Linked DNA regions of Arabidopsis thaliana. The protein of the gene in region 1 interacts with the protein of each later gene in a pairwise test. Each region holds a gene or a part of one and is shown on either strand. Other genes may lie near its edges. The genes, in order: AT2G37020 and AT1G80150.

What was found.
Region 2: the proteins of AT2G37020 (region 1) and AT1G80150 interact in a two-hybrid assay, tested with the Arabidopsis thaliana proteins (one large-scale study listed by BioGRID).

What each region holds. Positions count from the first base shown.
Region 1 is NC_003071.7:15,544,570-15,549,788, forward strand, and holds AT2G37020 (Translin family protein), read left to right. Parts: upstream 1-1,844; 5' UTR 1,845-1,941; coding exon 1,942-2,338; intron 2,339-2,572; coding exon 2,573-2,669; intron 2,670-2,745; coding exon 2,746-2,861; intron 2,862-3,566; coding exon 3,567-3,611; intron 3,612-3,746; coding exon 3,747-3,772; coding exon of another isoform or gene 3,773-3,820; exon of another isoform or gene 3,821-3,890; coding exon 3,891-4,026; intron 4,027-4,110; coding exon 4,111-4,223; 3' UTR 4,224-4,468; downstream 4,469-5,219. Other genes in the region: NAP12 (non-intrinsic ABC protein 12), read left to right, coding at 35-499, 581-729, 832-1,121, 1,213-1,346, 1,434-1,590.
Region 2 is NC_003070.9:30,146,445-30,151,225, forward strand, and holds AT1G80150 (Tetratricopeptide repeat (TPR)-like superfamily protein), read left to right. Parts: upstream 1-1,885; 5' UTR 1,886-2,293; coding exon 2,294-3,487; 3' UTR 3,488-3,713; intron 3,714-3,808; 3' UTR 3,809-4,112; downstream 4,113-4,781. Other genes in the region: AT1G80140 (Pectin lyase-like superfamily protein), read left to right, coding at 167-259, 369-545, 759-966, 1,046-1,127, 1,210-1,432, 1,509-1,736; GLYI7 (Lactoylglutathione lyase / glyoxalase I family protein), read left to right, coding at 4,534-4,781.

The DNA.
Region 1 (5,219 bases):
TTTTGCTTAATAATTGGTTTTTTCCTCTTATTAGTTATACAATGTACAAAATGTTCGATGACATGATAATACTAGCAAAAGGTGGTCTTACCGTGTACCATGGATCAGTCAAAAAAATAGAAGAATATTTTGCTGATATCGGAATCACGGTTCCCGATCGTGTCAATCCTCCTGATCATTATATAGATATTCTTGAAGGCATTGTGAAACCAGATGGTGATATAACTATAGAACAACTTCCTGTGAGATGGATGCTGCACAATGGTTACCCTGTGCCTCACGATATGTTGAAATTTTGTGATGGACTTCCTTCCTCGTCAACTGGATCAGCTCAAGAGGATTCCACTCATAATTCTTTTAGTAATGATCTATGGCAAGATGTGAAAACTAATGTGGAGATTACAAAAGATCAGTTACAACACAATTACTCGAATTCTCATGACAATTCTAATCGAGTAACTCCTACCGTAGGTCGACAATATAGATATTTTGTTGGAAGGTATGATTTTTCTAGATTTGATAGATGGAATTTTGTGGTTAATTTCATATGTACATTAAAACTTTAGTCTATCTATTTCAGGGTTGGAAAACAACGGCTTAGAGAAGCAAGACTACAAGCGTTAGATTTCCTAATATTATTAGTTGCGGGAGCTTGTTTAGGAACTCTTGCGAAGGTGAACGACGAGACAATCGATACACTTGGCTACACATACACCATAATAGCTGTCTGTAAGTTTCTTACGTACACAAATATTAATTTACATTTACTAGTATTCGCGATTTTTGGAACGTTAACTAAGCTCTTTTCTGTATGTCTTTCTTTTTTTGTAGCTCTTTTGTGTAAGATCTCGGCATTGAGATCATTCTCTGTAGATAAATTACAATATTGGAGAGAAAGTGCCGCTGGAATTAGCAGTTTGGCACATTTTATGGCTAAAGACACAATGGACCATTTAAACACAATTATGAAACCTTTAGTGTACTTGTCCATGTTCTACTTCTTCAACAACCCGAGATCTAGTTTCGAAGACAACTACATTGTACTAGTATGCTTGGTCTACTGTGTAACAGGCATGGCTTACATTTTTGCCATATTGTACAGTCCTAGCGCCGCACAATTGGTTTGTCCTCACTTTCTCATAATTCATATATGAAGGAACCAAAATTTTCACTAACCATATGGTACCTGAATTTGCTGTTATGTTCTTGCAGTTGTCGGTGTTAGTCCCCGTTGTTATGACTCTTATCGCTAATCAAGATAAAGAAAGCATGGTCCTTAAGTATCTCGGAAGCTTTTGCTACCCCAAATGGACTCTCGAAGCCTTTGTCCTTTCCAATGCTCAAAGGTAGAAAGTTTGAAGATTTAATTCTTCTAACACATAATCAAATCTTAATTCAGAAAATTTGATTTTGGACTCTTTTTTTTGGGTTAGGTACTCTGGAGTGTGGGTGGTGACTAGATGCAGTTCATTGTCTCAAAACGGATATGATCTTAGTGATTGGATATTGTGTCTCATTGTTCTCGTTCTCATGGGACTAATATGCCGATTCATAGCTTATTTCTGCATGGTTACATTCCAGAAGAAATAATCTAATAATTACACATGATTAAAAAGCTTACATTTTGTAAAATTCTTCTATTTTTCATACGTTAAATATTAAATGAGTTATATAAGTAGTTTATAGAATTAGAGAAGAAGGGATTTTAGAATTCCAATTTTGTAATTTTTATTTGTAGATAATGGTGATTATTCATCATGCTTTTTCTTTCTTTATATGGTAACCGGTTTTGGTAAGATAGAGTCATACAGAGAATGATATACAAAGAAATCGGTTTATTTTCAGTTACGATTCTTTGGTTTATATGATCCGGTTTAATTGGTTACTAAGATGATGTCGGAAAGAGAATAGGGAAGCGGCGTAACTAAAAAACACGACACGATGATGAATTCGGCGTTTCGAAACGTTCACATCACTGCGTCTCGTTTGATAAACCCTAAGCCCTTTTCTTCTTCGATTCTCCATTTTCTTCCTCTCTGTTCCGGCGACGCTTCTCCTCGCCGTTCCAATCCTCTCCGGCATAGAAACTCGGTGTCTCCTTCATCTTCCTTTCCCTTCTGTTCGACTTCTTCCTTTTCTTCTTTCTACATTCCTATGGCGGGAGGAGATGGTCAGGTGTCTCATTCGCTTGAGAAGCAGTTCGAGAGTTTCCGTGTTCAATTGGAAGAATCTGCAGCTTTGAGAGAGCAGATTCGTGCTGTGGTTATGGAGATTGAGTCTGCTACTAGGCTTATTCAAGCTAATCTTCTTCTCGTTCATCAATCGCGTCCTATTCCTGGTAAATGATTAGTCTTTAGGTTAAAAATTGCATCTTTTAGCTAAATGTTTGAAATGGCTTGATGGGTTCAGAACTTGGTGATGAAGTTCTCTATGAAGGGAAGTAACTAAAAATGAAGAACTTGTTGAGAAAAGAATGAATATTGAATTACACATAGCCTTTGTTCTTTTAAGAAATTCATTGGAAGTGTTTGGTTGTTACTAATATAGATTGCTCGTTTTGTTGATGGATCAGAGGTTATCGAGAAAGCTAAGGAAAAAATCGTTGATTTGAAGCAGTATTATGGTCGGCTTGCTGAAATTCTTGAGGAGTGTCCTGGACAATACTATAGGTAAGTTTGAAAGCTATGTGTAGTTAGATTTTCTTTATTTGCAATGGTTTTTTGTTAAAAGGTTTTTGTAATGTAGGTACCATGGAGACTGGAGAAGTGAAACACAGGCAGTGGTCTCCCAGCTTGCTTTTATGCACTGGCTAGAAACTGGAACTCTTCTCGTGCATACCGAAGCTGAAGAAAAACTTGGGTGTATGTCTCTGGATCTCAATTTACTATTTTCCTTACTTCCAAATACTGAAATACATATCATGGCCTAGTGGTTGCACTATAAATAAAACCTTATTTTGTTTTGCTAGTTCTCTCACAAACTTTTGTATAGAAACTTCCTTCCCACAATAGGTAACAACTGAGCTGGCAGTAGGCAATCAATTTGAAATCCGTTCATGACTCCAACATACTATACGTGTTATCCTGTGACCCTCCTTTTGCCTGACCTGTCTCAGTTGGAAAAACTAAATGAACGAGTTTTCTACTTTTCTCAATAATCAGATTCAGTTTGCCACTAGTCTTCTTCTCTTATCAGTATGTTAATTAGTCTACCTTTTCTTGCTCGTTGTTATTGATTTTGTCCTTAGGCTTTGTTTCAGTCTGCATTTTATCCACTGTAGTGTCAACCATTTAGCTAAGATTTGATTTTTTCACCTCAATAGAGTTATTAGTTGCCGTTTCCCATGAACTCAGTTATTCTCCCTTAGGATGGATGGATGATAATTGGAAGGTTGGTTTTTCATTACGTTGGTGTAGAATAGATATTTGCCCAAGTGTCGTTTTGTTTCAAATCTGGGTTTTGTTATCTTGTCAAATCAATTGTCTTTGAGTAAAATAAACAGAACAAGGTGTTGGTCAATTCATCTGCCATTATGGCTCTTCTAATTCCACTTCATTGTACTTCAGTGAACAGTTTGGAGTTTGGATTGGAGACAGAAGATTATCTCACTGGTAAGTTTCTGAGAAAGAACCCATATTTGCTCTGGAAGGCCAATATCTATAGATCAAATATGCCTTACGAGCATTTTATGAATCGCAACATTGCTTTTATATTCTCTGATCTTCAGCTTTTTGAATACTTTGCAGGAATTTGTTTCATGTCAAACGATTTGGTAAGATCATTTTTATCCCTAAATCTTACTTTCCATCTTCCCCCTTAGCATCCTACTTGATAGCAACTTATGAAAAACCTTTGGATAAATGCAAATGGGTGATGCAATGTTTGAGCAGCCTAGGTACGTGGTTAATCGAGTGACAGCAGGAGACTATGACTGCCCAAGAAAGGTGATGAATTTCCTGACAGATCTTCATGCAGCCTTTCGCATGCTCAATCTCAGGAACGATTTCCTGCGCAAGAAATTCGACAGTAAGTCATACATATCTCTAACTGCTCTTCTTTCTCCATTTGCGATGGTTACATAAAAAAAAAATCGATTTTGACATGTGACAGGTATGAAGTACGACCTAAGAAGAGTGGAAGAAGTTTACTATGATGTCAAGATCCGAGGTTTGATTTCCGGCGGAGATCCTCCTGGCGTCCAAGCAGTCCAAGGCCAATCCTAAATGTCCTCGGCTCTTTTTAAGTTTTTATGTATAACTTTGTTTAGCTAGCATGAAAACGTCAAGGAGTGTTCTTCTCTAAACCAAAAACGGCAAGGAAAATAGAGAGACTGTAGTTTTTAGGTGTAGTTTGCAATTACTGAAAACGGCAAGTATTCCTTTTGTGGGCCTTGAAAGCCCACATTTTAGTCACAACTTTACTGTTATCCGAAGTCAGCAGCTTAATAGTATAACAGTAGATGTTCATGAACTCCACCTGTCCATCGTTGCGGACTTGAAACGCACGTTATATTTGACGGTGTCTTACGTCATTTTGGATTTCAAAACTAAATAAATCAGCTTTTGGAATCCGAAACAAAGACAAAAAAACAAAATCCAAGTCTAACAGTCGCCATTTCCCCTCCTGCGTCAGTGTTCTTCGTCTCCTCTCGTCGTCTCTCTTTGGTATCTTTTTTCTTAGCTTCGAGTACTATTCTTTTCGCTGACATTGTGTTAGATTCTCTCTTGAACTTGAACGATCTCTTTTCCAACACAAATGTAATGTATGATATCGTTCGATTTTTTCTCGGATTGTTAGTTTCTTCAAATTGCAGGTGTTTAGTTAAAGGAAGGGGATAAGCTAAGCAGCTGGATTTTCTTTTCTTTTCTTTTTTTTCTTCCCTGGAAAGTTATATTTTTATTATTATTTTCTAATGTAACAGCTGTGAGTCGTCTCTATGGCCCACATTATACGTATATTTCTTTTATGTTTTTTTTTTTTTTTCTATATTGCATTTGCATTTTGAATGTTGTGATAAACATTTAAAACATTGACGCTTCTGTAGCTGCTGAGAGTTTTGATTTTTCTTTATTTGTGTTTATCTATTCTGTCAATGAGACTGAGATCATCCGACAGAAATTTGTCTGGCTACTCTGTTTCTTTATACTGTAATTGCATAGAATGTCTGTCCTCTGTTCTTAAGTAAATCTTATATTACTTATTTATATATTTTCACTAGA
Region 2 (4,781 bases), on another chromosome or scaffold:
GATACATCTGTAAGTTATTGGTGTATATATATTATATATCAGTACAAGCAGCATAATTGTTTAGTCATCATATAAAAAAAATTAAACTTTTGCATGGTATATGTGGGCAAAAAAAAACAAGGCGTTCCAAAAGGCGTGGGAGGATGCTTGTAAGGGAAGCTCCAAAATGGGAAGTGTAAACGTACCAGCAGGGAAGGTGTTCCTCCTCAACTCCCTTCACTTCACGGGTCCTTGCATACCCAAACCTCTCCTTTTCATTGTAAATCCCTCCACCACTTTACTTGATTGATATTACATGAATACTCGAATATGAACCTACTCCTCCAAGTTAATTATAAAGTTACTTTTGCTGATATATGTATATATAGATCGATGGAGAGATGATAGCGCAGAGTGATCCACAGAAGTGGGGAAATGGTGAGAACGGGGTAATACCATGGCTCATATTCGATCAAGTAGATGGACTTGCAATCGTAGGGCGCGGCTTGTTGGACGGCCAAGGCAAATCATGGTGGGATATTCATTGTAGAGACCATCCCGGACCCGTAAGTTTCCTTTTTTTTAACTTTTTATTTTTCTTGGGTTATAATGTATCCTAACAAACCATCTCTATGTGATAATACATTTTGTAACCTATAACGTGTCACAGAATTGCATCTGCCTTGCACCAACGGTAAGTTTGCTATTTACAAAAGGAAGTACGTAGTATGTATATAATAACTTGGACGTCTCTATAACTATAGATATATTTCTCGCAGATGATGACATTTAGCAACTGCGGAAATGTAACATTAAAGAGTTTGAGATTTAGAAATAGTGCACAAACACATGTTCTTGTGATGGGAAGCCAAAATGTGTATATCGATGATATCAAAATAACATCACCGGAGGCTAGCCCTAACACCGACGGTATTCACATCACATCTTCCACCGCCGTTTCTATCAATCATTCTGACATCGCCACTGGTATATTTCCTTACCTAACCATATAAAAGATCAAACAAAAGTTTAATTTGTTTATTTATTCTCACAATTAATTAAACAGGTGATGATTGTGTGTCGATCGGAGATCAAGTGAATAATTTGAATGTTACTTTTATGAATTGCGGACCTGGTCACGGTGTGAGGTGATTACCATCTCCTTATCGACCTCGTAATCTTATATTTTTCATAATAAAAAAATGAGAACTAATAAGAAATTAGAGACAGCATTGGGAGTTTAGGTAGAGGAGGAACAGAGGTAACAGTGGAAAACATACGTGTGTCGCACGTTAACTTCACTGGAACAACAAACGGAGCTCGAATCAAGACTTGGCCTGGAGGAACTGGTTACGTCCGAGGAATCGAGTTCTTCGATATCCGTTTCTCGTCTGTACAAAACCCCATCATCATTGATCAGTTCTACGGTTGTGCCCCTACATGCGTTGAGACTGTGAGAACCTTTTTCTTTCTATCTTTCAAGTTAATATTAAATGTAAATGAGCTAATGTTTGAATGTAATGTATCAGATGAAGGGAGTTCACATAGAGAAAGTGAGATACATGAAGATGAGTGGAACATCGGCGACAAAGGTGGCTATGAAACTCGAGTGTTCAGGGGAGAGTGTTCCATGTTCCAACCTTTTCATGAGAGACATTGACTTATCTCCGGCCGATGGTATTGATTCTGTCTCCTCTCTCTGCTCTTTTGCTCACGGCTCCGCACAAGGCATCATTCGACCTTTATCCTGTTTCTAACTATTTTAGTAATTTGTAAAGTTTTGGGGTGTAAATTGAATTACTATGTAAATGCAGGGGTCATATTGGAATAAACAACAATGTTTTAGTTAAAAGGCCTGTATAACAATGCAGGCCCAAACAAAAAGATATGAGCCCAATAGTCACTGAAATTGTTTTCTCAAACCCAAAAAACCTAAAACCTTAAACCTCCGTATGTGTTCCGTCGTTAGCCTCCTGCTAATCTCCATCTCAGATCGCAATTTCTCCCTTTTCCGGTCACTGCTCCGGCTTACGACTATAGCGTTCCGAGATAAAGTTCGGCTGTGTTAATTAAATTCGCCGTCGGAGGGATTTTACGGATATGGCTGTTGTTGAATCGCATGGGGATTTAGGTTATTGTCGATTGAGGTAAATGGATGTCGAGGGTTTGCTCAACTCTTCGCTCTCCTTATCTTTGAAGCTGGTTCTATAGATTGGTTAGTAGATCTTACAAATTGCAAAGATTGGAGATTTGGGGGATTTGAATAAGCTACATGTTATTCGGGTATGTTTAGGCTCGAGGGAGGCCCTGGATCATGCTATCTCTGCGACACATTCGCAGATTCTGCCATTTTCCTTCCTCTGCAGCCACTGGTATTGCATATGTTTCAACAGAGTCCAATCAGATCCAGGGTTTGAAACCGCTCGAGGAACCTGCCCTTGTGAAGCTTAAATCTGAGCGAGACCCTGAGAAGCTATACAATCTCTTTAAAGCTAATGCCACTAACCGTTTGGTGATTGAAAATCGATTTGCTTTTGAAGATACGGTCTCTAGATTAGCTGGGGCAGGTCGGCTTGATTTCATTGAGGATCTGCTTGAGCATCAGAAGACACTTCCACAAGGTAGGCGTGAGGGTTTCATTGTTAGGATTATAATGTTGTATGGCAAGGCTGGAATGACGAAGCAAGCACTTGATACTTTCTTCAATATGGATTTATACGGTTGCAAAAGATCTGTTAAGTCCTTCAATGCCGCTCTTCAAGTCTTATCTTTCAATCCTGATCTCCACACCATCTGGGAGTTCCTTCACGACGCCCCATCGAAGTATGGCATTGATATTGATGCGGTTTCTTTTAACATTGCCATTAAATCTTTCTGTGAGCTGGGTATTCTTGACGGGGCCTATATGGCAATGAGGGAGATGGAGAAATCAGGGTTAACACCAGATGTAGTTACATATACTACACTTATATCGGCGTTATACAAGCACGAGAGGTGTGTGATTGGAAATGGATTGTGGAACCTTATGGTCCTCAAGGGCTGTAAGCCGAACCTCACCACTTTTAATGTTAGGATTCAGTTTTTAGTGAATAGGAGACGAGCTTGGGATGCAAATGATCTGTTGCTGTTGATGCCTAAACTCCAGGTGGAACCGGACAGCATAACATATAACATGGTTATCAAAGGGTTTTTCCTTGCGAGGTTCCCTGACATGGCGGAAAGAGTTTATACAGCGATGCATGGTAAGGGGTACAAACCCAATTTGAAGATATACCAGACGATGATTCACTATTTGTGCAAGGCAGGAAATTTTGATTTGGCTTATACAATGTGCAAGGATTGTATGAGAAAGAAGTGGTACCCAAACTTGGACACAGTTGAGATGTTGCTCAAAGGGCTTGTGAAAAAGGGGCAGCTTGATCAGGCTAAGTCGATCATGGAGTTAGTTCACAGAAGAGTACCTCCTTTCAGGTCAAAACAGTTGCTCTCCCTTAAGTCCATTTTGTAATGTTTACATGAAATGGAACAAATTTGCTACATGTACACGACAATGCGGCCAAAAGAATTCTTTCTTTCTTTCTCCTGAGTTTATTTTGTATAGCTGTGGTGGAACTGGAAATGGGATGTAGCCTCATATTAGGAGGCACACTTATCTTCCAATCAGATTCAACTATTTGTTGTTCAATGTGAATAAAGCTTAGGATGATTTGGAAACTTCAATGGAGGGATACCCAGTAAGTCATGGATGCCTCTACAATCTTAAGTTGTGATAGCACAGAACTAGTTTACCTTTTGTAATGCTACTTACAAAACATGTTGTTGATTTCAGCTGGAGAGCAAAATGGCATACACAAAGCAGGGACCATGTGCTGAAGAAACCAAAAGGATCTTCGTCTGACGATGCAAAAGCTCTTGAGCACCTGGAAAAATGAGTTATGTTGTAAGCTTCATCTAGCCAAATTAAAAGCACTAAACATATAACAAAGGATATCAACGTTGATAGCTTTTTCTTGATATAGCACGAATGTAAACAACAGAGAATAGAACAGAGACAACATTACCAGCAATGAATATTTTTATTATTATGTCGAATAAATACATTTTCCCACAAGTGACAGAGCAAACAAAATTCACATATTTTTGTCTATTACACTTTGGTGTCAGACTGACTTGTTACGTAGATTTATGGCGGTGGATTATAACATTGTAACTTTAAATATCTTTTAACGTAAGAAACAAAACTCCAAAATTGGTGTTTATTTTTAAAAATAAAAATTTGAGGGGGCATGTATGTTTGTTTAGTTGATTCACGTGTTCTTTGTGTCTGAAAATTCTGAATTTGATGATTTTGAAAAAGGAAAAAAAGATACGAGGTATCCTCAATTCCAAAAGGATGAATGATACAACTCATATATACAAGATTATAGTAAAAAGAAGGGATGCATATAAAGAAACATAGACATCATCGCCATCCATCCTCAGATCAGTTCCGTAGTTTACTGGATCACGACACACACACATATACACGTGTACATATAAGCCATTCTTATCAAAATGACCACCTTCCTCCTGAATTCTCATTCATTATATAGGCGTATATTTCGGAATTCTAAGTTTTGTTGCTACGATCGAGCCAGCGTTCTGTTTCTGTACGTCTCTCTGGGTAAGAAAGAAAAAATGAAGGACGAAACGGGAAACCCTCTGCATATCAAGTCTTTGAATCACATCTCTCTTCTCTGTCGATCCGTCGAGGAATCCATTAGCTTTTACCAAAACGTTTTAGGGTTCCTCCCTATTCGCAG